3 linked regions of the Lepisosteus oculatus genome follow. The protein of the gene in region 1 binds, or shares a complex with, the protein of each later gene. Links are inferred from orthologs where the notes say so. Each region holds a gene or a part of one and is shown on either strand. Other genes may lie near its edges. The genes, in order: bmp2a, hjv and nog3.

Region 1 (11,010 bases):
GCTGTTATTATGCTTCTGAATACTTTAAGGACATTTATACAAAAAAAAAGAGACTGTAGCAACATCAAAATCTATCATTTTTTGTTGATACCTATGGAAATTTTTGTATTTATCTTTTATCATAATATCATGATCAGTTCATCATACAATCAGTTCTTTTAAAACATTAATTTACTTTAAACAACTGCATATGGGTTTACAAATCATACAGATCTATTACGTGTATTGTTCTGAAAACTAATTTTAAACTTTTAAGAATCCTACCAATGTAGCTGTTACTACAACCTTAAGTACCATTGGTAAATTCACTTAAATGATAGAAAAATCACTCAATGTTTGCTCTAAATAAGGGTAAAACTAGAATGTGTTGCAACTGTGAATTGAGTTGCAAACCTGGACCTACACCTAGCAAGAAGTGACAAATGCAAAATTAAATAACTTAACTCTGAACTTTGCAAACTTTTGAAGAGTGTAATTGATTTTAGATTGCAGTTGTCATTCTTTCTACATATAGCAATATAGATACTACATTGCCTGTCTTTTGGAAAAGTTTCACCTTGAGGAAAACCTGAAAATGGCAAAAATTATACTTCATACAACCTGCATAATCAAGTTTTAAATCATAAGACTTTAAGATAGACCACCTTATTAGATTTAACAAAAGTACTGTTCAATCTCTTCTCATAGTCAACAACGAATGGACATTCATTTTAATTTTAGATTATTCGCTAGGAAGAGTATAAAGACTCGTTCTCTAAAACAATCCAGAAACATGAAACATGGTGTAACCTACTAAGAGTTCATGTCAGTTTTAAAAGGCATAAAACCCCTACTCAAAACATACATAGAGGTTGACAGGTCCTAACTGAAAAGAGGTTTTATGAAGTTTGCTATCTGCAATGATAGCAAAGCAAAGATAATTCCAAATACTGAAAACAACAGCCATTTAAGGACTAACTACAATCATTTTCTTACAATTTCTAAATACCCTCATGTAGGGCACTCAGCGGCACCTCAGTGGTGACTTGGCACCTAAACATTTACTAAACTGTGATTATCTTTATGGCTAATTCTGCCCAGCAAACTTTGTATAAGCAGTCTTATTTCTCATTGATAACATATTTTTAATATAGAACTTACTCTGCTGTCACATATATTTTAGAAATGAAAATTTGTTGGCCTTATATGTTTAGAGCTTTATGATGGTGTGATAAATACTTTATCAATTTAATGCACAAAGTCATATTCAGATTTCTTGTCCATTACTTTATTGTACATAAATAAGGCACAGCAGAGGAGGAACATAGCTGAAATACAGATTTAAAACCTCTTACGGTTAAGAGTTAGTCCATACCAGAGTCACAGTGCCCCATTGAGCCAGAGCTTATCCTAGTTTCTGTAGCATTAAGTGGAATAACTAAGTGGAACAATCATCAATGCTGGTTCCTATTTATACAGATGGGTAGACTAGAGCAACTGAGGTAAAATGCCATCCTCAATGTACAACAGCAGTGTCAATGTGGAAGGACTTGAACCTAAAACCTGCCAATTAACTGTTTGGGATAGATTATACATTTTAATGTTTAAAACTGATGCTTTCCATTTGAATTGATCAGTGAATTCTCTTTTATAGTTTCTACATCAGTTGGTGACAAAATGTCTCAAAAAAGGAAAATTGGGGATGACTTAGTCATCCTTTTTTGTGTCCGTTAATAGTGCATATTTCACTTTGGCCCAAATTCCTTGATAACTCATACCTCTGCTAAATACGTTTTGTGATTCAATAACCCAAGGCCTTACTGTTATCATCTTGCTACTTTTTTCAGACCATAGGTAAGTGTGAGAGTCAAATACACTGGAATGGCAAGGTGCTTCATTAACTTCTATTCATTAACTTATTCTAGAGCAAAACTGTAGTTGTGTGTCTTTAAAAAAGTGGCAAATTGCCACAACAGGTTTGTTGTTCCCTGCCAAGTACATGTCCTTCTAAGACCATTAACACTGCTCTTGGCTGTAGAGAGCACTGCCATGACTAACATCTGGTATTTAAATATTTATGATAAATTACATGCAGAAATGAAGATATTTCAAAAGAGGTGGCTGTGTATCACCAATGACTGAATAAAAGAAGCACCTGCCACACAAAGGTATGGTCTAGAAAAGAACTAACAAAAACAAACATTATGTATTTATGTACACATTTAAAATAAATAATTGGTTCTGTGGTCTCAATCCATTGTGTTCCGTTGGCTTCTGTTAAAAGTTTTGTCACATTTATAAAGAAAAATCTGAAATTGTCAAACAAATGCAGCATTAATGTACTGAAATCAAATCAAAGGAAAACTAAGCTGTGTACGCACAATGAGTGAACAACACTCCGGGTACACTGTTGCCTGACCTGAACATTTGATACTCAACAAACCGTTCGTGTAGGAGAAAATTGTTTTCAGAACCTGTACAGAAACAACATTAATAATTCAAGTACCTGTTAGAAGCAAGGCTGAGAACCACCCATCGGCTGGTACCAGTCTTATGCAATATGTGAAGAGGTCAGACAGTCAATGTTAAATGTTAAAATATTGGTGCAAGTAATCTATTTCCTTTGACATTGCTTACTTAAAGTGTGCAAAGTAGCATTGAGATGCCCATTCATTAGTAACCATGATTAAAAAGAATGCATCTGTTAAAGGTTTATGTCATTTTACTATGGAACTAAATAGTTTCCTATAAAACATTATATATCTTTTAGATCAACTTTTCTTTAGAAACGTGCTTTATCAGATAACCTCTTGAATCTAAAAATGTAAAACCTTTAAAATGTCCTTCCACATTTTCTTCTATGCTAAATTACCGATTTTAAATTACTAGAATACATGAAAGGCTAGATACATACAATGAGTATGTATTATCAATCTTTTTACACTAAGACAAATCAAGGGTTGATATTTGTATCGAGATATCTAACTCCATCGTTACTTTTAGCACTCGCTGAAACCAACCGTACATTGCAAACTGTCCATGAATATTTACAAATTTGGATATCACAAGTTACATACCAGTTTTCGGTCATTTACAATGTTCAATTTAAGTAAGCAGAGGCTACAAAAGAACATTTCCAGTGAGCGAAAGTAATGTCATACCTGTTGAAGACGAAGCTTGGCATTAAACAGTTTTAAATCGACACATACAGAAATTTCATATAACCCGTTCTGTTTAAAGTGCTTTCGAAATCACCCAAAGTAAATGAAATGTGTTTAAGATAATGTGACATCCATTACCCTAGGTACCTCCTGTTTAAGACAAAAAAAGAACTCTTCTTCGGGGAGAAACTCTTACCTTCATGGTGAAAACTCCTAATTGTATTCGCTCTGCTGGCAGACCTTTCCGAATACTGGCCCAGCACTGATCTGGAGCGGTTGGGGTCCTGATCTCCATTCCCTGAATGCATGTGATAGAGGTCCACCATGTACTGCGGGACCACCGCAAGCTTGCTTGGAGTTGGTCTGCGCTTCAGTCCAAACATATTAAGGAGGCGAAGCTCGAATTCGTTAAGAACGTCCTCCGATTGCTGCGTGCTTTGCCGAGACGATTCGCTGAACTTCCTTCGGCCAACCTCCGGAATAAGTCCGACCGAACCTCCGAGCAACACCTGACAGAGCAGCAGCACCATGAGAGCACGGACCCCGGCGACCATGATCAATCTGTGCCGGAGAGAAAAAAGCGGTGTGTCAGTACCTGAGTGTTGTTATCACATGTACGGTATTGATAGTTTAAGTAAAAAATGTTTACCACAAGATATGGCCATGCGAACAGTAAAATGTTTTCTTTCCAGAGGAAGAATTTAAAGCAAGCATGTTAAAAGACATTATACTTTGATGTGAGGAACAAAAACAAATTTTGGAAATGATATTCCCGCTGGCCACGATAAATAAAATGGGAGACTGATAAGAACATAATAAAGGGGCATAGGTTAAACACGCAATAAGGGAGGGGGTATATAAAAGAACACAGTCGATTTAACTAAAAAGATAAAACGGTTTTAAAAAAATCAAAGGAGATGAATGAGAAGGAGGAAAAGAAGGCAGACAAGAAGGCGCAACTGCGCAAAGATAAGACTCAAAAAATGAAAAGACAGGAATCGTCTTTATAAGCTTAAAAAAATGCAAGAATCATAAAAGAATATAGCGATCAAAAAGATAAATAGCTATGGCGAGTGAAGGGAAAGAACAATACTGAAAAGGAGTGTTACACGTGTGTAGTTGTTGAAGCTGTTTACGTGAAGGTGTTGTGTCTGGAATAGGATTAGATCATAGAGTTACTGAGAGACAGCCACACAGGTGTTAAATCTAACGTGCTTCCACTGGCCACCACAAATCAAAGGCGAAAAACAAAAAGCAAAAACAACTACCTTTAAGAAAGTGGTGATCGACTAAGAAGCACTCTCTGACACGTCCATTGAAACAGTTTCCACATGGAAAAAAACCCAGAAATATGCGTATATATCCCGAATGCACTCCTTTTTAAAACAGAAGCCAATGCCTTCTGGCTGGATCTTTCGTGGTCATAATCAGCGTCCTCTTTTGCCTGCCCTTTTCAACCTTCCTTATAGGTGTTTTCTTTACAAGTGCAGCTCTCAGGATAAAGTCCAGGTAAAATTAAACTCACGATTGATTAGGAAGTACACTGTTGATGGTGGTATCTTTACTTCTCCCCATTACGGATCCGATTCCCTGTGGACCAACCAAAGGTGTTTTTTAAGTCTGCAGTTACCTATAAGGAAGTGCTCTGTCCGATCGCTGGTTTTCCTGCTTTGTAGTCCGATATTTTCCACATTACTTAGTGTTATTCCACACAGCTATTCTGCAGAAAACAGAAAGCCTCCACAGTACAGCCCGCCTCTTCTTACACATATTCTCAGCAGCTGTGAAGTCGGCAGGCGAGAAAGAATCGAGTCAGATTACTGATACGAAAATATCACTTGAGATTAACCAGAAAAAACGTAAATACAAATAGGCAAAACCTAATTCCTTAAGGTGTCATCTTTGATAATCATTAAAACAACAGTAAAATTAAAGTTACGGGAGTTTTACGGTAGGGTATACTGCCGCTCATTACAAACTACAAAGATAACTTTCGGAGCGTCTCCCCGATTTAGCGTGCAATGGTTCAGTACAATTGATAGAAGCTTTTTTTTATGCGTCCTTTTGTTGCTCAGTGATGTCACTACCACAAGCCTGTCAATCATGCACCAAAGGCACCTCCTGTACTTGTTGGAGTAAATTCTAGTCCTGAAGCTCTACATAAGGTTAAAGAAGTTCTGTATCTGCGAACGGATTTTTAATCTGCTGAATTTTGTCAGTTTAGGAAGTTTTTAAGGCTTGTTATCAAGCAAGACTTTGAAACTGACAAAGACTATGGATATCCCTTCTAGATCCAAATAAACTATGCAACTTCTAAGTTTTTATTAAAAAGTTCAAAATCCTAATCACTTGCGAGGTTACACATGGATAATTACCACTTGAGTAAAGCAACTTTACTTTAAATTATAAATACAATATAAAAAATGAAAATGGCAATATCAATTCAAATCAGAGAAAATTACACATTGTAATTATATTGCATAAACTGTACTAGATTAAATGTTTCCTAGAATATTCTTAAAGCTATTTTTAATATCACAAAAAAGCCTATGTATGTTAACTGTAAAGCCAATGTTTAGTGTATAAATATATAAATTCAGTTGTTCTTTTCCAGACCACAACATTTCTTTACCGAGAGAAAAGGTCCTTCGAAACTAAGCACAAATTCGATCAAAACATGGCACAGCAAAACTGCAAAATTATCTTTTATTAAGTAACAAAAGAAAAACATCTGGGTTATAAGAAATCATAACATTAATTTACAGTGGACGAAATAGACTCTTTCCTCGTGGGTGATACGACTGAACATTTACGAAACGGTGTTAAGACTGAGAAATGTTTTTTTTTTTCTCTGTTGTGTGGTTGTCCCCTGTAAAGAACCATTCGTTATGTTGCGGATTTGTTTTTCGTTTCTGTAAAGTGTTAAAAACTCAACAAAGTTAACATATATAGACGTTTGCAACGCTGTTTACAGGGAGTTCAAAATTGTAAGAATCTGAAAGGAAATGTCAAAATTAGATACAGTGCGCCAACTTGTGGAGAGATTTAAAAAGTGTGATCACATGTGTATTAAACAAAGATTCATTGTATATTTTTCTCAGATAAAAAGTAAAATAATTTGAGTCTCGCATTACACAAATCGGATTATCCTCGGAACTGCTACTGCTTCGCCCCCCGATCCTCCCCCCCACCATGGACGTGTAGAATACCGGTAGTTAGCAAAAGCTTGTTAAAACTGAACAAGGAAAGCACATGCATGCATACCTTTACATATTTAAATTACTGCAGTCACAGAAACATCAAGAGGAATAACAACGATGTATTAGAGCTTTAAAGTTTATTGACTTTGAATTCAAATTCTTTAAAACTGACCAAATAACGAATGTATTAGCAAACTGTAATAAAATACAGTAAACATACCTCAAGAGCACCCATACTTATTTAAGTAAAGGGTTTTAAGAATGGATAAGAGCAATACAGACAGGTAATACACACTTAACGAAAACGCGCAGAATAAAGACAGGCTGTGAAGTTAATTCAGCTGCTTTACCTACGTTGAGGAAACTGTGAACCAGTGGACCAGATTCGGCACATTTAATCAAGATCTTCTCTTAGAGAAATGGGAAGATCTCCTCTCCTTTCCTTTCAGTCACAAATGAATAAAAAGTAGCATTGGGGCAAAACATAGGCCTACCTAATGGCAGAACTAATTATTTTCAGGGAGATACAATTTGACTGTTAAGATGAAAACCATCTGACTGCTTAGTTCGCATTTAAAGGATTCAAATTTTGAAACCTATTTTTTTTAATTAGGTTTTGTGACCTAGCCAGTCACCATCAACTACTAAAAACAACTTCTGACGCCGGTATTACTTCACTTTTTATGTCACTTTATTCAGCACCTCTTTTAAATGGAAGCAGAGAAAAAAAAAATATAAATGTAGTTATGTTTTGGTCTGTAATCATATCTACTTTACAATTCAGAAAAACGATTTACAGAGGCTGTTAAGATAAGATTAAATTGTCAATTGCTAATTTAAAACTTTTATCAGGTAAAATAAGATATTCAGACCCAATAGTTTGATTTCGGGAGTTCTTGATTATTACAATATTAATAAAAATAATCAATCTTGATCGATCCCGTTTTATCCGTGATAAACGCTAACCATGCGATATTCTGTATTTAGAAGTAGGTTAACTTGTTAAAAATTGTTAATCTAAATTCAAAACGTTACATTGTATGAATTACCTGCATCCACACTCATCCACTATCATATCTTCGTAATGCCTTAATACAACATTGTCGTTGTTATCATAGTACAGCATTGAAATAGGAGACAATTTAATAGGAACACAGCAAGGTTGAGGGGTACCATTTGGGTCGAAGGAATGGAGTAGAGTTTGTAAAATTGCGTGGTTAGTACCATTAAGACTTTCACTTAAGGGAAATGGGCATTCTCCATGACAATAATTAGCCATGTACCCCTGAGGAGCAATTATCCAATCTTGCCAACCTACATCCTTGAAATCAATGTACAGTCGCCTTGGTTTACAAATGTTGCTAGGAGTTACAGGCAGATAATAGGCACTTCTTTTTATTCTAGATCTGCACTGATGGGGGTTCAAAGAAACAACGATCAGTGACGTGTAAAACTGAGGTAGAGTTCCAATAAAATTATGCCCAATGTCATTTCCTGAATTCGGCAATTTAAAAGGGTCCATGCCGTTACTTGGATCACTGGGATGAATAGCAAGAACAAGCCCATAGTTTTTATCGGGTTTTCTCCAGGCCTCTGCGACAGCCGTCAAGTCCAACGTGATGGATCCAGGAACAAGTTGAAAAGTCTGTGACAGCAGCAGCTTCCGATTGGATTTGCGCGACATTCCTTTCAATGCTGTCTTCTGAACTTTGTATAGTGAGATAATGAATATGGGTGGATTTATCGAGAATCGACGTAAATTCTGGTTGAATTTTATTTCCAGCTGAGCCAACGTGAGCTTCTCAACCTCTTCAAGCACAGAAACATTGAAGTAAATGTGCTTTTCTACACACGTTGAACACTGGCGGCTTGATCCAGAAATTACTCTACCTACAAAAAAACAACAACAACGTTTATCAGCGTAAATTGCAGCAAAACATACAATTATCAAAGTCATGTTAAAATGATTAATGAAATTCCTCAAAAGACTCTTACATAGATAGGGTAATAAATATGAACATATCAAAATTAAACAACTATTTAACGTTTTTTGAAACAATAACGTCGATCTTTTAAATAAGGAATGACGAAAATAGTAAACATAATACAGTGCAGGTTATACGACATTCACATTGCAACAAGAAGTGAGAAAATACCTTGGTCCTGAATAAATCGCACGATATTTCCACGGACATCGAATTCTGATATCCTGCAGGAATCATTTTCTGCTTCAAGGGATGGCTTGGAGCTCGTCTTTGTCTTGAACATTTTCCATAATAAGGAAGGTACTGCTAAATTGTCTGAAGGCTTTGGGCGGCTAGAAAGACCCAATGAATTCAGAAACCACTTTTCTTGTTTTCTCAAATCTTCAGACTTGCCTCCGTAGCAAAAACCAAGAAAGAACGTAAGAACTATAGCTTTTAAAATTACAACGTACATACTGTATTTCTTAAGGTTTCTTTAAACCGAATGAGGTTATGAAAAAAAAACAGAGTTAACTGTTTCACCCATGTGTTCCCGATAAAAACTAAGTCAAACCAACGGCGTTTGCAGGAGATTGATTAAGAGGTGTTAATTGCAGGATAAAATCTTGTGTTCTATTGGCTATATTCAATTGTCAATCAGTAGTCCTACAATGTACAACGGGAGAACGCACACCTCGGGGTTTACAAAAAGCTGTGAACATGCAAGTGGAATCTAATTAACCCCCCCTTTGTGCTAGTGGAGCACTTTTGTTCTCAACTGAAACTCCAGCGGGAGTTTTTTTCAGTAACAAGATAATGTAAAATACTGTGGGAATGGCCGTGTTTTTGTAAGGTTGTAGGCCTAATACCCGAACAAACCCGCTACTAGCCACATCAAGTTCCGGTAAGATGTAGCTCCGGATAAAGCAATAGGGTGTGTAAAATAGCGCTTTGGACCACGGAATCTAGTTCATGTGACAATGGGTCATATTTAAATAATTACAGGCTAAAAATGGTTGGTTTGAAATTTCCCTGCTTTGAAAAGTCGAGGTCTTAACTCTCTTCCTCCTGCTATTGCTGAATGTGTCGACACAGTAAAAACCATATATTCTATAATTCTTAATTATGCATAAAACTCATGTTTCCATATTCACGTTCATCAAATACTAGCCTTTTATTTTTAAAAGTCAAACCCCAACGTAGGAGGGATGTACTATTTGGGTACGTTGGGTACAAAGAGTTTTAGATTCGCACTGTTGATTGCAATTTGTATGCTTATCCTTCATCTTGTAAGCGTAGTAATGCTAATTGTTAATCTTCATGTTTATGCAACAGATGTATTAACATTTACATGTTTCATAGCTTTAGGAATACCAATTATACGGAGTTTGTCGTCGTAGGTCATCTTTAAATTGTAGACTTAATTTAATAAACACTGCATATTAATAGGGTTTTTATTCTGCTTAGGTTGATAAATGAAATGGTCGGGGAAATTTGTCGTTTAAGTTACAGGTGTGTCTGGGGAAGGTGTTAACGTTTTAAGTGAGTAGTTCCTTATTTATAAATAGGAGGTCTATCATATGCTTATTAAATATCCTCTATTTTTTAAACTTGTATGCTTCAAGATGTCAACAGTTGACAACTTAAAAAGCCTCTTTTTAAGAACTTTATGTAAATTTATTTCTCCTCCTGGTATTTTAAATGTGTTTAATTTATCCATTTGTGTCCCTGCTTACCTAACTTGGATTTATCTGTGGGACAAATTTGTTCTGAGCCACCAATTCTTTATTAATTTCAAATCATTCCTGTCCCAATGCACTTTTTATGCTGCTTTATATTTGATGCTACATAATGTTGTTTATAAAACCTTTGACAACAGTAGTAAGGCTTATAGATCTATTGCTCCACTCACAGAGCTGTTTTTAGTGAGTTACATTAATCAGATTTGCTGCACTTTTATATTGATGCTGACATATATTTTAAAAATTAATGTAGACCAGCAGCTACAAAATGCCACCTCTCCATGTGCAATGCTTGTGTTTCTGTTGAGGGTGAAATAACCAGCACATCCATTTTTAATGTGATTTTCTTATTTTTCTTATACCATTATTCAAATATTATTCCTTCAAAACTAATTGATATTAGATGTTGGTCTAATTGAGTCAAGTCTGCATCTAATATACAGTACATATGACACAAACAGGACAAATGTCAAAATCTGAAAGTTCTCAGCATGCCTTGCAAAGCTTTTAAGTGCAGGAAAAAAAAAGATGCTTGATTTTTTTTCCATGCTGCTTGAACTATCAGCATAGCAGCAGATAAGATCAGTTATGTGTGCTGGGGTAGAATTTTACATTAACGGGGTCATATAATCAATGCTTGTGTTGACAATAATAAATTTGAGGAGCACGTTTTCACAAAATCAAACTGTTGCACGAATGTAATACACAGATGTAAAGAAAATAAGGATGGTAAGTTAAACTACTTTTAAAGATGCAGTGAAAAGAAAGGTCTTTATGCAAGTTTTAAAATTTTCAGCATTCACCAGGCCTCAAAAGAAACGTAGCTATGCATTTCACAGACATGGTGCTGCACACAAGAAGGCACTATTAAGCATTATCCAGAGGCTTGCTTATTCTAGTAAAACACTTGGACAACACTTTGGAAGTAAGTCCTTTAAGATAGGTTTGAGGTAGATTAAAGCCT
Region 2 (10,267 bases), on another chromosome or scaffold:
TACCTAGTGCTGGAGCAGCCGTGTGCCAGGGCAAACAGCTGGAGAATGGGTGAAGGTCCCCTCAGCAGCAGCCTGGCCTGTCACTCCATCTCTGCGCTCAGGGAACAGTGCCCCTCCTGGGCAGAGAAGCACAGCAGCTGAGCCTGCAAACAATACAGAACCAGGACATTGTCTTAATATACTGGCGGCACAGAGTTTTTGACTTGGTTGGATAGCTTGCTCCACACTCCCACCACCCTTTGTGTAAAAAAAAGGTCATTTTACTCTCAGTTTTAACAGCACTTCCAAGTAGTTTCCATTGTCCTCTAGTTCATGTTTCTGAATTTTCTTTTTCTTTACAGTCTATTGTGCAAATGGTTCCGATACGTTTCCTTTTTCGACTATTCTGTTCTCACACTTGATCTCTGTTGTGTTCTTTCTGACTCTGACCTGTCACCAATCCACCTCTAGTTTAAGATTTTTAAGGGCATCAAGCCAGCTTACAGACTTCATTTCCATTTATCACAGTAACCAGTGCAACATTGTACACGTGGCAGATCAGCAGTGTTTATGCCCTGGATGGGAATCATTCCGAAAAGTAACCCAAACTTATGCTTAAGATCCTTTTATTTTTTTTCCAGGCCAGACTTACCAGACAAACTCAGCTCCTGTCCTGTTCTTTCAGGTGTTTTGACGGGCAACAGGAGTGCGCCAGGAGTGGGATGATGGGAGAATCCAGCTCGTGAGCCGAGAGAGTTCGGCTCTCGGTTATTTCCACTGCCTCCTTGTCCAGCTAGGGAGACAGGAGAGGACACGTGTCCACCTGGTGGTCTTGTTTCGACGTTTAGCTGAGCTCAGGTCAATATGGCTTTAAAGGCAGGGCTGAAGCAGACTGCTGTCACCCTTTCTCCTCCTGAAATGGAGGCCGACAGGAAGCTTTGTAGTTTGGACTTTCTCTCTCTCTCTGTTTGTCAAAGAGGCACAAAGTCGAAGCTAAATCAAATATGAGTGAGCCCAGGGAAGCAAGACCCCTGTCCTTCCTGCTTGTCTGATTTGTGCTGATCTCCCTGCCCTTGCTTAAATAACATTGCTGGGGGCTGTTCATTTCCAACATCCACCACTCTCTGTGTAAAAACAAACGCATCCTGTTCCTCAATCCTGAAGGCGCCTCCACTTGGTTTCCTCTAGACCATGTTTCACTATTGATCCCAAATAGATCCATTTGGACTACCTTTATCAGTCATTTTTGAGGCTCTCGAACATTCCTGTCAAGGTGTCCTGAAATCTCCTCTGTTCAAGACCGAAGAGATTCAGCACCTTTAACTTGCCCGTGTGTCTTTTCCGTCTGGGAGTTCACACGATCACTCTCTGAACTGACTGTTTATTTATGTGCTCACTAAAACTGTACACTATACAATAACAATGCTGAAAATAAAAAAAACGTAGTAAATTTGACACATTTTGTTGCAATCTCTATCCTCTGCTTCTGTAATTTGTACAGCACATGGGTTAGAACAATGATATTTTTTTTTAATAAAAAGCCTGATTTATGTACTGCTTCAGAGAATTCCCCTTTTTCAGCTGTTGGCTTATGGGTGACCAGTGGGGCTGTGGTTCCTCTGACCCAGGGTTGACCTCTTCTGACCTGTGACATATGACCCATGACCAAACCTCTGCAGCAAACAGAAGCACTGACACCAAGGTGGCTGATACCTTGAAAACTGGCGCGATCTCTTCACACACAGGTGAGGGTGAAAAAAAAAATTTGCTTTTGGAGTAATCAGAGATGTCACCAGCACAGAACAGGAAAAGGGATGCAAGAAAATATTGTCTTTAAAGAGCTACACTAACCAGCGTACATCTTACTTTAGAAAACTCCAAATAAATTGACTTCTCAGCCTATTACCAGCTTCTGGGGGGGGGGGGGGTGTTCTGGATTCAAATGTTTCTGGGGGGACAGGAGAGGATCTGTCGAAGAAGAAATCAGCCCAGGCAATTCGACCCCGATCATTTTCTCCCTCTGACCTTTAATCCAGTTTAAGAGCTGCAAGCCCTGTGCTGTAGAGAAGGGGTGGGGTGAAGAATTACTCTCTAAATATACCCCCTTCACTCCCCAGCAAACCGTGGGGCACTGCTGCTGGCCGTCTGAAATAGCACCTGCTAAACTGAGCGCAGGCAGGCAGGCCGGCCACACAGAGAGCAGCCTGCAGCCCAGCCCCAGGACCCCAGCGCACAGCTGCAGCAGTCTTCGCACAAACAGCCCTTCCCAGAACGCCGTGCGGGGGGGGTTACACATGCCTTATAGTTTGCACAGTCGCTGTGTAGTCATTTCCCACAAGAGAATGGTAGAGCCACCTGGGATCCCCGAGAGGCGTTCTTTACACAAAGAGTGGCGGGTGTGTGGCACGGCCTAGCATTCCATCTGAGAGCTGATTGGCTACAATCGTATTCTCATCAGGCTCCTGCTACGCTCCTGTGGGGCAGGGCTGTGTCCTTCAACTATTCCTCATCGGCAGGAAACGCGAGAAGACAGAAACTGCGCCGCCTCTTCCAGTTTTGACTGGAAGGTGTTAACACGGCCTGAGCCCTGTGTGGGCCATCACCACTTACCGAGGATAAAAAGAGATGGGCTGGAAACATTTGTTGCGCTTGGTCCAGTTGCAATCCAACGCACGGGGCCCACGCAGTGAACGCACAGCGCGCGGGGTGAATAACACCGTGCGGTCTGGCCGTTGATGTGAAAATAATTTACCATAAAACAACGCCATGAGCTCGGATAAGGCCCTTCCGCTATAGAGGTTCGGCTCCGTGGAATTGCGGTGTAACGTGCCGTGGAGGAAATACAGTGCCGTGGGTTACTCCACCGGAAAATGCTCTGTACGAAAGGAAATAACTGCCTTGTCTAAACCGCGCACCGTGGATCTAACGCGGCTTCCCACGGACGCGGGCAGTGTGATGGCCAAAGACAGCAGGCACCGCAGCGCTACTGGGTTACCTGTCACTGCCACGGCTCACAGCTGCGTGAGGCAGCCAGACGTGTGAAATGTAGTCGTGGGAGCGTGTCCACGCGTCTGTATTTCCCCCCCGCTTTTGTCAGGGTAGCAAAGTACCGAAATGTAACACTCCGCGGTGCTGGCGTTATAAAATTCGTTGTAACCGGAAAAATACAAAATCCGCACGGTTGTTTGCGCAGGGTCCTTTACCATCTAATATACGATGGGTATTGCATTCTGCCTTACGGTAATGGCCGAAGAATTTCTTTTTTAACCCGCTTTATCCTGTCCAGGGTCTCGGGGGAGCCGGGGCCTATCCCGGCAAGCATGGGGCGCAAGGCAGGGTCCACCCTGCGCCGGGCGCCAGATCATCTCAGGGCAGACAGACACACACTCACCCCAGCGCCAGGTCCCTCAGAAGCCAATGAGCCCACCAGCATTGTGTCTGGATGAAGGGGGGAACCCGGAGCAGGCAGAGGAAACCCACAAGATCACGGGGAGAACATGCAAACTCCACACAGACAGCACCCCGGGACTGGAATTCAACCCAGAGCCAGGGCGCTGCGAGGTAGGGATGCCACCCGCCAGCCAAAACAAGGAACTACCGGTCTCCGACCGCTACGGCTCGTTCGGCTCACCAGCGCTCCGGTTTCCAAGCGGCTCCCATCAGGCTGTCGGGACAGCAGGTGCAGGACTTTGGAACCTATTAGGAGAAGATTATCGGCGTTCGTATGCGTCTGGGAAACCGTTCAATAATCACTTTGCATATTATTATTATTAGTAGTAGTATTAGCAATAGTAGTAGTAGTATTTTTATCACGCACAATCAAATTCACTTAAACAAATACGACTAAATTCACTCAACGAATGGAGAAAAAGAAGACCCAACCGAGAAAGAGCGGCGGCCGGCGGGAGCCGAGGGGTCTGTCTGCAGGCTGCACGCACGGAGAGGGATCTGCGAGTGTCAGATGGTCACATGGGATAGCAGAAATCCACTACCGCATGAGTGGGATTTTTTCACGGAGTTCCTTCCTGGGGGGGGGGGCTGAGGCGGCCATTAATCACCCGCAAGGACACCTGCTGCGGGCGCCAACAGCTGTCAGCGGACCCCCGGCGAGAGAGCCGGGAAGGGCGGACGTGGGCCTCGCCCCTCAGAACGTGCGGAGCTGAGAGAGAAGGGGAACCGAGCCTGGGCACCACACGACGGAGCGGGCCGGTCGGATGCGCCCGCGACAGCGAGCGGCGGCTGCGGGTCCCACACCCGGCGCGGGGCCAGGGGCTCCCGCCATGCTTGGCGGCGCGCCCCCGCTGTGCGCTCGCTTCAGCGCCCGTCTGCAAGACAGCTGCGCTTAAGAGCCGGGAACCAGCGTGTCGGGCTGTCGGAGAGCCCGAGAGCCTTCAGATCCCGACTCAAAACCTTCTTCTCCAGAAGGGCTTTCATCGCACTGGTCCTGCGTCTGCCGCCCCTGAGCTTTCCTACTGTATTCCAAACCCTGATTGTAGCCGTGTGATTCAGCTGTCTCCTCTCACTGTGTACTTCATCCTTACTGCAGAGCGCTTTCAGAAGCCACTTGAAGCGCGTTCAGTAATGAAGCCACTAACGGATATTGTGAATACAGACCTAAATCCTTATTATTTGTGACGCAGTGGCAGAAAAGTGATGTAATATAACATATATCTAACACATCAACCCACACCCTCCTCTAACCTTTACAGAAATGCTATACAGCAGTTTGCCAGATGAGTACTTGTGAGATAATGCGCCCATTATATTACACGTCATAGCGCATTACTAATTTGTTTACAGTATTTGTTTTAAAGGTGTTTTATACTTTTAACTGTTTTATTTGTGCAAATTTGTTCTATACTTATAAAGAAGAGTTATTTTTTTGAAGATGTTTATTTGTGGAGAACACTGCCTGTTTAACATTTTTCAGGATGTTCACAACGTTGAGGTGCAAGACATTTAAGGATGATGTTCAGTATTGTCGAAGAGAAAAAATAATTGCAGCCATGAAAATGTACCTTTTGCACCAAACAGTAAGCATGTCCATTTTCAACCAAGGGTGCTGAAGAGATGCAAGTCTTTTTGTTTTTACTGACTGTACTTGCAGTGCAGTTTTAAATGCACCTCTCCTGCCAAGGCACTTGCCCCTGGGGAGAGACAAAGTAGTGCTTCAGTTGCTCACGCTGGTCTTCGGCCTGCTGGGGAGGGTTGCTCGACGCTCCCGCAGGAACATTCAGAAGTGCCCCAGCTCCATCTCTCCTCCAGTTTCCTGGGATCACCTGATGTTCTGTGTCCTCCTGGTCTGCCAGGGCAGGTGGCATGTACGCCTCAGAACGGCACTGTCTGAGGTAGTTGTGTAGGCAGACAGAGGCCAAGGTGATCTTCGCCACCTTATCCGGTTCCAAGCAGATAGTTGTCCTGAACACACGCAGCCGGTTTGCTAAGATCCCAAAGGCGTTTTCAACCACACGCCGGGCCCTTGAGAGCCGATAATTGAAAACCCTCTGGTCGTGGTCCAGCTGTCTATGGGAGTATGGCTTCATTAGGTCGGGTCGGAGTGGAAAGGCATCATCCCCCAGAAACGCATACGGCAGCACAGTGTTTGTGTCTGGGATGGGCTCTGCTGGTGGTATACTGAGTCGTCCTTCATCCATGGCTCTGTGGAGGTCCGAGTGGGCAAAGATACCTGCATCTGGGATCCGACCCTGGCAGCCCACACTCACGTATGTGAAACTGTAGTTGGCGTCTGCTATGCCCATCAGGACAACGGAGAAGCGGCCTTTGTAATTGTAAGACGTGCTGCCCGAGTGTGCCGGTGGCTGTATATATATCTGTTTTCCATCCACGGCACCCAGGCAGTTTGGAAAATGCCACTTTTCATAAAAGTCCTTGGCTATCGCTCCCCACTGATCTTCTGATGTTGGTGTCTGAAAAAAAGGAAAGAAATACACGAGAGCCTGTCACTGTTGACTAGGAAACGTTCACACACGCAGGGACGTGATGCTGTTTTTGACAACTGGATGGTCAGTTTGGCTTTGTGCTGCATTACCTTCAGATAGTCCTCCTTCAGGACTTTATGCAGCGCTTCACACGTCGTTGTGACGATGTCGGATACCGTGGATCTCCCAATGTGGTATTTCAACCCCAACAACGTAAAGCTCTCTCCTGAAGAAAAGGCATCAAACAAGATGTTTCTACTCTTGAAATACAAGGGCCTTGAATACAAAAAGTCCCTGAAGCTAGGGCTACCAAACGTCCGGATTTTCCCGGACATGTCCTCTATTTTGATCCTTCTATCTCCGTCTGGGGGGAATTTTCAAAGATCCAAAAATGTTCGGGATTTCGACTCCCATTATTATCACCATGAAGAATAATTAACACAATTTTTAAGGATGAGGAGGTTAGAAAGAGAAAGAATTTCTTAACCTCTCTAGTTCGCTTCACGACCTACGTCAGCATTGAGTTTTCGTCCTGTACGTGGATGATGATGTCATGAGAGAGCGAAATCGGGCGTCAATACCAGTGTCTTTACCCAGTCTATGCAGTGCACAAGCGTTCCCCCGAAAAGCCTCCCTATTTTGTTTCTCTTTCCCTACCCTCAAACACCATGCTAATGCGAAAGTGTAAATTCACAGCAGAACTAAAAAATTTATCTCCGTGTTTTCGAAGTGGCAGAGAAGACTGGGAAGCTGGGTGTTTCGTGTGTAAGCCTTGTACTTTTGTCTCCGTGGCAGATAAAGGTGGACTTCACCTGCACGCTCCTGTTGACTCAGACAAACACAGACAGGCAAATCCAGGAGAGAGTTCGTCAACCAAATTAACAGATTATTTTGTCAAATCTGGCAGCAAAACAGAGGATACTGTTATTGCAGCAGAGGGTGCTTAGCATTTCACACAGTTCAACATCATCACAGTTACTTTACCAATGGCCATAAAACGTGGAATATTTTGAAAACCCTCTCCACCCCGATCCCTTCCCAGATCAGGCAATACGAAAGCTCCTCAGGGTGTCCTCTTTTTTCGATGTTCAAATATGGTGACCCTACTGAAGCTCCCCAGAGGTTAGCCTACTAACCTGTGGCCAAAAATCTCAGCGTGACGGACAGGCGCTCCCTAGCTGTGATAGCCTTCCGGAGTTTGGTGTCCTGCTTGGATATGAGCGGTGAGACTCTCTCCAGCAGAAAATCAAATTCCTCTGCGGTCATCCGAAGCAGCTCCCTGAATCCTGTCCTGTCATTCAGCTGTTCACGAAAAAGCAAACAACGGAAAACTAGAAAACAGATAAATAACAGTTCATAAACAGTCTCTACTAGTCAGCGATGGGATGCTCGTAGCTAACGTGCGTAATAAAATAATTCCTTCTCACCTCCAATTGTCGCTGAAGAACTGTCAAACCATATTGTCCACAACCAAACAAATGTGACCTACTCCGCGTTCTTCGGCGTAACCTCTTCTTCTTTTTCTCGCCACAAACGAGAGCACAGGCTACAGCAACGGCAGCAACTATCCGCTTGCTCTCCATGTTGTTTGTTTACTCTCCTGCGGTGCTCCTTTTCCTGTTCCGGTGCGCTCCACGGTGATTGGCTGCCCAAACGAGGCGAACTCGCGGTAGAACACGAGATTTGGAGCCGTGATGAGAAGTCGTGAGGGGATCGTGTCATTAGTCACCCCCTGCGAATCCTTGTCGTATAAGTTGACACCCTCTAGGACAGAAAAGGCCGCGAGATTCAGCAACTGCAACTGGTAAATTTGATATGCTCTCCGACTGGTAGTCGTGTCGAGTCATGTAGTGTGACGCCTTTATCATTTACTCTGAACTTAATTAACCAGGAGAAACCAGATTCCTTAGATCAGTGAGTCCCAGACCCAGCCACAACCCAGTAAACCTCAGTTCCTATCTTGCTTTGAAGCGTCCCGAGAACTGTAAATGTTGACACTATCCAGGTGTTAATTATTGTCTCTAGAGATATAAGATATTTCAATAATCACTTCCGATAACCGTAACATCATAATTTAAAATTAAATCCAATCAGTATTGTGGTTCCCAAGAAAAAGGCAGTTTTTAGTGTTTTAACTGAACAGCAGTCTTGCACCTATCTAGGTATATACATGTTTATGCGGTATAAATACAGTTGAGTCAGATGCTAAAGGTGTTCTGTAGAATAATCACCATGGTTGGAGTTCATTGTGTAAAAGATTTTTAGACAACAGGTTACATGATTTATAATACACATGCATGATGTGACAGGTAATCAACGTGTAGTTCGAGATCGATCCTATTTGGAAATGAATACGCTATCGTCGTGTATCGCCGCATGTGAGTGGCGTCTGTAGCCGACTCTTGCTCTCCACAACCGCTCTCCTTTGCTCGCCTGTGAACTACCCCGCAGTCGGATTTTAAAGTTTATCATCTCGATACATCAACGCAGTCTCCGTGAAACGACTTTTCTCATCCTAATCCGGATTATTTAGAGCCGATGTTTCAGGAAACCTGACTGATCGCCAAGGGGTCATGTCTAGAACTGAGCCTCAGACGAATGCAATTCACCCGACCAGCCAACAGGGGGCGCCGGAGCCGCAGCTATCATCCAGGGTGGCGCTCGTCTCGGACTGGTTGTGCGACGGGTCTTATTTTTTTCTTGGTGTCACAATCGCTGTTAACGGCGATGCAACAAGTGCGACATGCTGGACAGAAAAGAAAAATAAGGAAAGGACATAAATTGACGGTTCTTCCGGGCGATCACAAACTGTGTCCGGGGTTCACTCAAAAGAAGAATATTATAGAGGTCCGGGGGTCAAAATGTTTCCTGCACAGCGAGGTGAAAACGCCCGAATTGTTCATTCAAATGACAAATTTGATTGCCTTCCGTCTTCCACTCATCTCAGTGACCAGTAACGAGACCCAGACCCCTCGGTGGTCAAGTGTCGCCCAGGTGACGATGGAGTGGGGTTCCCCTGGCCTGTACCTGGTCTGGCGTGTCAGGCGTGGGTCTCAAAGGCGGAGGTGGTGTGTGTGCGGTGTGTGTGTGTGTTGGGGGGGGGGGGGTGTAGAGCTCTGGCTGGGGCTGGGGGGGTCGTGCAGGACGCTGAACGGACCCGCGAGGCCGGCGAGCGACTGGACAGACAGGTGAGCGCGCGTCCCTCCCGAAAGTCACGCGCGGGGCAGCGCTCGTTTCACACGCCTGGCGGCGGGAGGGGGTGAGGTTTTGTTACAGCCGATGCCAGGAGCGCCGGGCGCTCCAAAACTCTCGCGGGAGATGTCCCGGGAAACGTCGCCCTTTTAAGAGAGAGAGAGAGAGCGCGCAATCGCGCACGGTTCAGTGAGCACAGTACAGGCGCCTTTGTGCATTGTGGCTGCGGCCGGAGGCGTGGCCTGCCGCGGGCCGCGCTGGGGCTATTCAGCCCGGAGAGGCTATTGTGCGGCGATGTGGGAAAAGCGAGAGACCCCGTGTCCTGGGAGCTGCACACAGCACAGCCCCCCGACAAGTGTGAGGACCGCGCCAGGAGAGGACAGCCAGCCAGCGCTCGGATCCTGTTGAGCCCCAGCGAGCCCGGTCAGAGCAGGAAACTTCTGTGCGACAGAAACTGCCTTTTTGTTTTGGTGGTGGGGCATTGTTTTTTTTTTTTTTAAAAAAAGATATTTTCTTTTAACTAACGAAGGGGATGATGCCACTTCATTCGCTCAAAGAAAGACATGCCCTTGCGTCTTCGGACCGAAAGGCAAAGGTAAGGTGTCTTCTCGGAGGATGGAAACTTCTTGTGGAGTTTCTGCGCCTTGTGCGCGCGCGTCTGGGAAAATAGCCGCAGCTTTCATTGGTGGGGGGAGTTTTATTTTCAGAATAAAACAATAGGACTTATCCTCATCGTATAAATATCTAAACATGGTTTAATACATTTGTTTTTTTTTCCGCTGCAAGTGCCGTCCGCTCGCAGCCTACAGGAGGACAAACCCCCCCCCCGCTCGCCTCTTAACAGAATATGCCCGGTTGCCTGGAGACCGTCGCCGTGGAAACCATTTTAATGTCGCTGCGTTATTCATTAGCTAATGTTTGTTCTTTTCAGACTTGGGAACGCACAAACAAAAACGCGCTTGAACCAGACTTCCGTTACCACCAAAAAAAAAAAAAGTTTCGCGGGGACGCACAAAAGTTAGGTGAGAATGGCGTCATCCGATTCTCACGCTCCCCCCCCCCCCCACCCCCGCGAACGCGAGTGGGGTGTAGCGTCAGTCACTCCAGTTGCTTTTATTTCTGCGTGTGTGTGGTCATTTCCTAATTAAAAGTAAAAA
Region 3 (9,436 bases), on another chromosome or scaffold:
GGGGCATTAAAGATTATTTGGGGACTTGTCAAAAAATTTTCTAAACAGTTCAGTAATTTAGAAACGTAAAAAATCTCAATATCCTCTTTCTTACTGAGACAAGTGAAGTTTGTTTTCCTTGACTGGAGACTGAAGGTAGCAGACATCGGAATATTTTTACATGTGATCATCCATCCAGCGTGTCTTTCAGGCGCCACACAGATTAAATGAAAGAATCGTAAGATGAAGGTCTTTAACATTTAATCCTTTTACAAAGACCCTTCAGATTGTCTGGGGGTTAGGGTTCTTTTCTTTAAGAGAAATAATGCCGCTGTTCCTATTTTCCATAAAGCGAATGAATGTTACAATGTCTGAAATAAAAAAGGATCAGATTTGCAATAATATGAAGGGCTGTAGAAGACAGGCTACACCAAATAACTTTTAAACAAAATAAACCATAACTCGATTTTTGCTGAAAGGTAGGAAAGTATTAACACAAAGTCTTGAATTATGCCTTTCCTTTCTATTCTAATGTTTAACGCCTTGTTGAGCGTAGCATAGCAAATGCCAAATATAGCTATAAGGATACCTAATTCATTCTGAGTGCAGAAAACGTAGTAATAATAGGAAGATAATAATCGTGACAGTGTTATTGATAAAACTTTAAATTAGGACTGAAAGGTAAATTCTGCGAATAAGAAGATTTATTCTTAAACATAGACGAAGGCGGCTTTTTAAAGTAAAACACCACTGGTATAACCTTTTATTTTCCTTATCACATGATAAGTGAAACGCCGATAAAACACTAGCATCTTAATTACCTTTATTACACTAACAAAACGAGCACTTATATTGCAATTAAATAAATAAATGCATTAAGCCAGACTTTAAAATGACAACGTTTTTAACCCTCCACACTCGACTTGCTGAAAAAGCCAGCTTTGTGTTTTACGTCTAGGGCAAACAAACTGAAGATGAATAGTAAGTTATGTGTATTAAATAAGCACTATAACTTAAGGAACTCCCGGAATGGGACGCAATGGACAAAACAGTGATGCAAGTTGTTAGTATTTTAATATTTTTCGCACTCTTATACGGTGACCAATCTGAATATATTTATGCTATTTTGTTCAATTCATTGCTCATGGAATATGGTTAAATAGAGCGTTGCTCTATAACTGCATTGCTACTTAGTCTGAAATGTTCAGAGCTAATAGGACAGAATCGTATCGCTTCAAGTAGTTTGTGGGGGAAAGTCCGGCGTGTGATGGGATCAAGTAGGATAAAGCTAGGAAGGTGTCTGCGATAAAACGTCTTTGAGAGGCAGTGCAAGGGGTCAAGTTTCAGCAATGTCTGTCCACAATAGTAGGTGTGAAAGACACGTGTCTCCTTGTAAATGAAATGTCAAGGATAGAAAATGAGCGGACATCCTTTCCAAAGCATCATATAAAGCACTGAATAAAGGGAAATAAAACTCAAGAAGACAGCCAACTCTTACCAAAGTCGTTTTAGTGGTTTACTTTTAATTTCTTTACTGGCATTTTACTACATGAATATAAAGAATAAATAGCAGGTACTCTTAATTTACATGATTAATCATTCAAATTTACCTCTATATTTACAGCTCTCGCAGCTGCAGAATTACACTGTAATTTATATATTGCCGTCTGAGGTCCATAAAACCACTTTTTCCGAAGAATGGAAAATAGCTTTAAAGTCCTTCAATAAACGTCTTTTTTGCTTCGCAATGCGAAGTGCTCTTCAATATAAATATAAAGATATATACATTACAACCAGGATATTTTTCCCAAATACAGTAGACGCTGGTTATGCATAATACTGACCTTTTTACAGGTATGTCATTAAATGGCACCACATATACATAAAATATACATTCCTACACTCGGCAGTGCATATAAAAATAACCATGTAGCTATTATTTATATTAAAAGTTCATTTCAGTTCGAGCAGGAGCATTTGCATTCTGAGATAATAGGGTACTGAATTGGTATCCAAGCGCATTTCTGCCCTGTTTTTCGCTGCAGGCACCTCCATCTCAAGATCGTAAAATGGGCCGATTTGGCAGGTTTGCAAACCATCCCTTCTGGAACAGAACAAGACCTCTTACTGTAGCAGCTACCCACTTTCACATAGCGCGGCCAGAATCTGTTCCCGAGGTCGTTCCACGTATAAACAACTGGGCAGAAAGCGTAGGACCACAGCCACAGTTGCAGCCTTCTTCTAAGTTTTTTACTCGGTTTGTGCTTCTTGCCATGAAGAAAGTCAAAAAATTCCATGGATTTGATCTCTTTAGGCATTGCCCCGGTAGGTTTTTGCCTAAGTTCCAAATCAGCCAGTTCATCGTTCCCAGTGTATTTGTCCTCTGGGGGAGATACAGACATATAGTGAGAGTCAAAGTTGCTGCCCAGTATACTTCTCAGTTCGGTCTCGTTAAGGTCCCTTTCCTTAGGGTCAAATACAGGGTCCGGGTGTTCTATAAGCTCCACAATTGGTAAATTGTCACTGGGAATGGGACGGAGGTGATAGTAATGTTGGCACATTCCTTCTTCTATTGTAAGACCGAGGGACAAAACCAGTACATACATAGCTATAAAATACTGTGAATGATGCATCTTTCACAAACGTGAAGTAAAAAGTTACAAAATATGATATAATAATCCTTAAAAAGCTGGAGCAGGCATCCAGTTAGTTCGTAGATTAGGAGTCAGAAAAGAGCCAGATCCTTTGTAATTCTTCGCTGCAAAAGGCAAAAGCTGGTACCACAAAGTTATCTCTTGTCCCACCGCTCCTCTCTTTTAATGTTCTTAAACTTCAGGTAGTTGCTTGCACCATAGCAACCAGTGACTCTAGTAAGAGTAATTGAAACTAGTAAGTCCAAGGATACAAACCTCCTGTCGTATGACAACAGAGTCCATGGCAGGGGTGACTTAATGATCCCTTTTAAATTTTCAGAAAAGGTAGAAAAAAGTGTACACATTGACTTTTCTACATATAATTCGTTTGTGGCAGCATCAAAAACCCTCTGTAGACTCTGACTCTTGCTTAGTTGTTTTTACTTTCACGCGTCGTACCAGCTTCAGTCCTTCAGCACTCAATTTTAAGTCCAGAGGTCTCAGTATTAGCATGTTTTCTCTTTTTCTTTTGCTGGAAGCCAAACTGAAAATTACCTGGCTCGTCCGATTTATCCACACGGGCTGTGATGTAATCCATAAACCCATTCTGGATGTAGGTTTGTTGCCAGAGATCCCCGACACCTCCTTCTCTCTGGGGGCGGGGGTGGGGTGGGGATAAGGGGTGGTCGGTCTTGGGTGTCGGAGCTCCGAATTAGATCAGTTGGATTTTGCACGCCCTCTACTGGGAGATACGCATTCTTGTAGTCTCATTGTAAAAGAAACCCCCCGCTACATCACCACCCCACATTTCTGGCTTGTGGTAAGCAGAACAAAAAGGAGTCGATTAGTTTTATTGATATTTTTATTATTTAGTTTGAAAGGGAACATTTCTTTAACAAAAACAGGGCATGAAGTGTTCATCATGAAAACTATAACTTATATATAGTTTTATTTGGGTATTTTAACTGCGGCAAAACTTGTTTGGAATGATATAGAAATATTATTTTCGCAGCATTTTTATTCTTAATGTTCTTAATTGAGTTTTGTACATAAAGAATCCCCAAACGTCTCAGAAGACATTTCTGAATAAGCATGTAGCAGTAGCCAAGGACTTAATGATCGGTCAGGCAGGTCACATTTGTTTTACAACATCTTTATTTAAATGTCACACCACTCAACTCAATCGCTGTCAATAAATCACATGCTACCAAAATTGAGAACGTGTCGACTTTTTGTATTGAATGCACCAGTGTGCGTTTTCGTGTACCGATAAACTGTGGAACTGGGGTTTTACGAGGCGCCTGTCCCAGAGCTTAGTGGAGCCAGAATCCTGGGTGTTCGGCTCCTGCTATATTTACGCGTCCCTGGCCTCTATATATCACTGAAAGGTGCAAATCATCGCCCCGCTTCTCTAACTATTGTCTCTAAAGGCATCTCATGCAGTGGTGAGCGCATTTTCTTTCAGCAGAGTACTATAAAAAGTAACTCTTGTTTCGTATAGACAGAATGAGAAGTTAAAGGCAAATGGGGAGGTTGTTTGTGTACCTACATTTTATTTTGCGGACGTTATAGTCAAGGTTAATATCCAGTAAGTGGTGGGTATAGGAGCGATAACTCCATGTTAATAAAGATCTTTCCAATATATGCGAAGTTCTCTACTCATCGTGGGACACAGATTAAGAGCACAAGAGGGAGTGAAACACCAGGATCACAGTAGTCGGAATTTCAGTTTTGTGGCAGGACTTATGGTCATGTCTAATGCATAAACAGTGCTAGTGGGAGGAAAACATCAACAACAACAAAACAATGCCAGGAATTTTTGTAACTCTGCCCATTAAGACAGATGTCAATTAAGATAAATCTCAAAACTGTCGTCAAGGAGTAAAGATAAGGGGACGGTGATTAACTGAAGCATATAACAGTAATGAAAAAGCTTCAAAAGTCGTCTAGTGATTAATTTGTTCCAGCTACTGAACGGGCTCAATACATAATCCAATTTCCCTCCCATGTTATATAAAAAGACCCATTATTAACAGCCACAGAGCTCAGTAATGCTTTATTGGTAATTATCTAATGACACTTGATGGATAGCTGGTTTATAGAAAACGACAAATATTTTTTTCTGAACCACTTAATTTTCCCTGCTGAAAAAAATGTTAACCTCCATTTTCAAGCAGATGGCAAGAACACATTAATCCGCGTTTTGTTCTGAGCAAACGACTGTGGTTTACTATAATATTAATTTATCTAAGTTGCGCAAAGGCACCTTAAATAGTGCTTAATAATTACAACGAGTAATAAGTGTTTTTAAGCCATGCAAACATCATTCTGTTATCGGTGAAAAATGTGATGTACATCGCCTAAAATGAAAACTGGTAACATTGGAAATAGTCCGATTGAAGAAAGGGGAAAAAAGAAACTATTTTAATAAGGTACTTCTTCACAGTGTTACTTCTCTGTGCAACAATGAGACGTGAGTGTAGTAAAACAAGCTGCTTGATCTCTTTGCTACTCTTCTCTTTCAAGACGAAGCCTCAAACACTTCCAGCTGTTTGTATTTACCCAATATCTAAAGTTACATCTTAAGAGTGTTTGCCCCTCTTAATAAAAACGTCCCGGGTGCTTCTGTCGTATACAACTCAGTTTTAATGAAAATCTAATTTTAAAAGCCAAGTAACAGGCTCCATTGTGGTGATGAACACTGATCATGGAAATTTATAGGCGAACCTTTGTCAAAATGTTCAACGTTTTGCAATATTTTCACAAAAATGAAAAGAGCACTCAAAGACGAAAAGAGTTGAAAGAGCACTCAAAGACGTTCCATCTGAGTGCAGAGTCGCGTATGCTATAAACAGATTTTCCAGACTGCGAGAAACTAAGTTAAATAACATGACTAATGCACTTGACATTTTAAAGATTCATTGCGCATGTTACTGAAAGTCACGGTATTCACTTAATTTTAAAGTGTTGCGCCCCCTGAACCGTTCTGTAGACTGGAGTGAAGTTACACCTTGTTACTTGCCAATGACACCCTGAATAGTATGATACACGGTATTTACGTACCTTCACGAATCCGCACTAGATGGCAAGTTATTAAAACTGCCGTAACTGAGACACTGAGTAAACTTTGGAGCAAAAGTACTTCAATTATGTAATTTTACGCAACTAGCCTTCCCAGATGAACTCGTAACATGTCGAGGTTATACATAGACGTAATTAATACAGCCAGTTCTAAAATAATATACAACCTTAAACTAAGTCTATTTTAATTAGACTCTCAGAAAAAAATGGAGGTACACCCCACCCCCTTTTCTTTCATTTACACACATACAAACGCTCTCTCTCCCTCTCCCTCCCTCGTCTTCTCTCTCACACACATTCCCTAGTTTTAACTGGCGCCAGGTTCTCAGTACTGCCCTGTGTTTGTGTCAGAAAGACTAGGACAATATTTCAGTGTGGAGCCAATCCACAGGGAACCTCTCAATAAAACCTGACCAAAATAACTCCCTAATGAACAAGAGCACCCTTGCTTGATCCTGCAGTAAGTAAGCAGGCATGGAAAATCATTATTATTATTATTTATTTGCTTAGCAGACGACCTTAAAGTCTTCACAATCCACAAACCTAACAAACTGTCTAATGGTATGACTCGTCCTTTGAAAAAATGAAAGGAATAACTTACCTGCTGCTGTATCTGCAATAAACTATCCATTTAGATAAATGCAACCCTGTTCTCTTTAAATTAGCTATTTTACTCATACACATCAACCAGTGGTCCATTTATCTAGTTAGAACAGCATGCCTAGTTTACATTCAACCCGCAGTGCCAAGTCTGGAAAATTCACAGCCATATTTTAAAACTGACAAATTAAAGATTATAAACCATAACAGAAAAACATACACGTGTTCAGAAATGAAAGACAAATTACATACAGTATTACTCTCGGATAGCGCTTAGTGCTCTTATGCAGGGATACACCTTATCGTATTTACGAACAAGAAACGTTCTCCAATATTCCATCTAGTGAACAAGAGGTAACATAGGTGACAAGATACAAAGTGTATATTTTGTTAAATTGCCAACACTCAACACAAAGATACACTGAAAATAAACTAAATTGCAATACACATCTTGGTCCACATACAGTACTTCAGTCGACTACAATGAAACTGCAGATTTATTAGGTCTCTAAAGTTGTAGCGCCATTTGATCTACATTGTGATTACGATGTAATTATCATTTGCTTAAACGACTTGATTGCTGAACAACTCTTAATTTATTACAACAGCAACAAAAATAGTTAAATTTACTTTGTTCAGAAAAGGTAATACTTTGTTCTCTACAAATACTCTGGACAATTTGAAATACGAGATTCTCTCTATTCAAAGACACCGTGAGTTTACATACAGTACACGGATAGGCTGAATTGGTACTATGTTTTCTTTTGATTTGCATTGTGAAATTAGGAACGGAGAATGCTGTGACGTACACAATTAGCCCCCCAAAAATGACCATTAATATCTTTGGATTAGATGATGATTTACAATAACCACAGAGAATTAACATCTCAGATTGTTCAAATCAAAAGCACCACAGTGCATAGTAACCACTAAAATCTGGATTTACCAAGTGTCACTTTTCACCAATTCATCCCTCAGTAAACCTGTCAAGGCTGCGTCCTGACTCACCTTCGGTATCCTTTTCAAAAACAGAACGGAACATTGCCAGGAGCACTTCGGCATATTTATAATTAATTAATACGTTACAATAGACTTTGCCAGTAATTACAGTTTCATTTTGATCAAGCACATGAGTCATACCAAACAGACACGACAGCTTTTAAACCTGGAACACTGTGAAATGTTCGAGTCTCACAAGTTTCTTAACAGGTTTTGAAAACAAGTCAGAAACATAACAAGGAACATGTCTCATACATATTCTGAAAAGGTTTAATATAAAGTATATTCATTTCAACTTCTACGATAAAATAAATAGTTTATTTATTAACTTATATTATTAATGAAATAACTAACATTTTTTCTTTCCGTTGTACAAATAAACTGTCGTCATAGCCGCGTTTAACGTTCTTGTGGAAGAGGGACAGTGAACTTCATTTCAGTTGTTTCAAACAAAGTCCAGAGCAGGCCTTCGGTATATATCGTTAAAAAAAAACGTACATAAAATGCTGTTCAAGTTATGCATAACGCGTTAATTAGTTAATTTACATATATATTTTGTTAGTGCCCTCCAAAATAATGTATTTGTATCTGTATATGAATTGTATATAAAAATCTGGACCATAAGAATTGATGAGAATGTGTAGAGCTGACGTTGTAATCTGTCTGGGAGAACTAAAATAATTACATGTTACATAAGAAGTTAAATATATATTTTTTTAATTTTCGGCTAAAGGCAGCGGGCGTAACCGAAGCACAGTCGGTGCTTACCGTTCTGTTTGAACTGCACATACTCGCGATCCTCACAGTATTCGCACCGAGATGAAATGAGTTTCTTAAATGGAGTTTTCTTCTTACAGGTGAGACACACAGGTGCGCCACATCGTCAGAAACTGCACCTTATACGTAGCCAGACGTGATTAGTATTTAGCTCGTTGGTGAGTGGACGCTGAACAGATAAAACAACATTAAAATGTAAAAATGTGATTAATGTTCGTTCCGCACTTTATGCACTTAGGCAATTTATTATATTTATGAGACACTCAACTAAAAAAATCTAGCAAGGATCTTACTTCATAACATCACTAGTTTTACACTTGACATCAAAAGTTGTTCTTACCCATCTGAACATGCACATGTACATGTACTGTATATACTTGATAAACTAATCTGTGACATACAGTACTCTTCTACTGTAATTAGTATAAGCCTACTTGCCATTGATATCATAGTACTCGAAGCAAATATCAAATATGTTGAAGTAGTTCAGTTGGGGAGCTGCGTTAGTATGCGTAGGCTGCAAAGGAACACGTAATCGGTTTATTCCATGCTGAAAAGAGAAGAAAAAAAATGTTTCGGCTGTGGCGCCTCTTTTGGGTCAAGGTCCTCCAGGTGCTCTGGTTTCCTCCCACAGTCCAAAGACGTAATGGTAGGTTCCTGGGAAAACTGGCCCTGGTGTGAGCGTGTGAGCATCGGTGTTTATGTCTGTCTGCCCTGTGATGGACTGTGTCCCATCCAGGGTATACCTCATTTTCCATCATTACTTGCCTGTCGGAAAAGCAAGAAAGCAGTTAAAAATGGATGGAAGTTAGGGAAGAGCATATTTTTATTTAAAATGTTATATGAATAAATACATGTTCCTTTGCACATGATACCACACATAGGTTGTAAATCAGAGAGAAAAATACATGATAGAAAGGTTAAATATAAAAGGTTTGTAGGCCTAATTAAATTTGGACATAATGTGGAATACAAGGCTTTCATGACACCACTTTCACATGAAAAAGGCAAAGTGGGTTTTGTGATTCAAAATATACAAATTGGTTACACAGGAGGCTACAGTGACAGAGGTATCACTTATGGGTTTTGTTGAGTGACCTCAATTCGGTTCTTGAAAAAAAGGGGCTAAAAACAACCGATTTTAAATAGAGCAAAATGTCAAAGCAAATCCTTTACTTCTATACTTTTCTATACTATTCTATACTTTTTAATATTTATTAATTATAAAGCTAAAGTTAATAGCTTTAGAGCTTCAGAAATATCCTGATTCCAGAAAAATAAATTAATGTTATTCTTACCATAAGTGATATACTGTATGGTCAAAGAACTTTGGGAGAGGGAATTATTGACAACATAATGCCAGGCTC

What was found.
Region 2: the proteins of bmp2a (region 1) and hjv are in contact, whole or in part, in a crystal structure (PDB 4UI1), measured with the Homo sapiens proteins. The link is inferred for Lepisosteus oculatus from reciprocal best matches to the Homo sapiens genes BMP2 and HJV. Residues at the interface, in NP_001191.1 of Homo sapiens: Phe331, Pro332, Ala334, Asp335, Leu337, Asn341, Ile344, Val345, Leu348, Ser351, Val352; in NP_001366281.1 of Homo sapiens: Leu40, Asn43, Tyr46, Val47, Tyr86, Leu101, Ala102, Ser105, Ala106, His108, Gly109, Ile110, Asp112, Leu113.
Region 3: the proteins of bmp2a (region 1) and nog3 are in contact, whole or in part, in a crystal structure (PDB 7AG0), measured with the Homo sapiens proteins. The link is inferred for Lepisosteus oculatus from reciprocal best matches to the Homo sapiens genes BMP2 and NOG. Residues at the interface, in NP_001191.1 of Homo sapiens: Trp310, Asp312, Trp313, Val315, Ala316, Pro317, Pro318, Gly319, Tyr320, Ala368, Ile369, Ser370, Met371, Leu372, Tyr373, Lys379, Val380, Val381, Leu382, Lys383, Asn384, Tyr385, Gln386, Met388; in NP_005441.1 of Homo sapiens: Ile33, Arg34, Pro35, Ala36, Pro37, Ser38, Asp39, Asn40, Pro42, Leu43, Val44, Asp45, Leu46, Ile47, His49, His199, Arg204, Arg206, Pro219, Ile220, Gln221, Tyr222, Pro223.

Annotation. Positions count from the first base shown.
Region 1 is NC_090697.1:40,820,876-40,831,885, reverse strand, and holds the start of bmp2a (bone morphogenetic protein 2), read right to left. Parts: upstream 5,152-11,010; 5' UTR 4,716-5,151; coding exon 4,666-4,715; exon of another isoform or gene 4,409-4,665; intron 3,702-4,408; coding exon 3,337-3,701; intron 1-3,336. Other genes in the region: gdf3 (protein DVR-1), read right to left, coding at 7,386-8,230, 8,497-8,779. UniProt on the Homo sapiens protein: Growth factor of the TGF-beta superfamily that plays essential roles in many developmental processes, including cardiogenesis, neurogenesis, and osteogenesis. Induces cartilage and bone formation.
Region 2 is NC_090722.1:4,340,706-4,350,972, reverse strand, and holds the start of hjv (hemojuvelin), read right to left. Parts: upstream 4,216-10,267; 5' UTR 3,862-4,215; exon of another isoform or gene 3,838-3,861; intron 3,676-3,837; 5' UTR 3,611-3,675; intron 3,587-3,610; exon of another isoform or gene 3,371-3,586; intron 1,822-3,370; exon of another isoform or gene 773-1,821; 5' UTR 632-772; intron 144-631; 5' UTR 1-143. Other genes in the region: uncharacterized protein, read right to left, coding at 5,094-5,906, 6,029-6,144, 7,055-7,220, 7,346-7,501. UniProt on the Homo sapiens protein: Acts as a bone morphogenetic protein (BMP) coreceptor. Through enhancement of BMP signaling regulates hepcidin (HAMP) expression and regulates iron homeostasis.
Region 3 is NC_090704.1:38,736,209-38,745,644, reverse strand, and holds nog3 (noggin-3), read right to left. Parts: upstream 3,203-9,436; 5' UTR 2,613-3,202; coding exon 1,938-2,612; 3' UTR 1,483-1,937; downstream 1-1,482. UniProt on the Homo sapiens protein: Inhibitor of bone morphogenetic proteins (BMP) signaling which is required for growth and patterning of the neural tube and somite. Essential for cartilage morphogenesis and joint formation.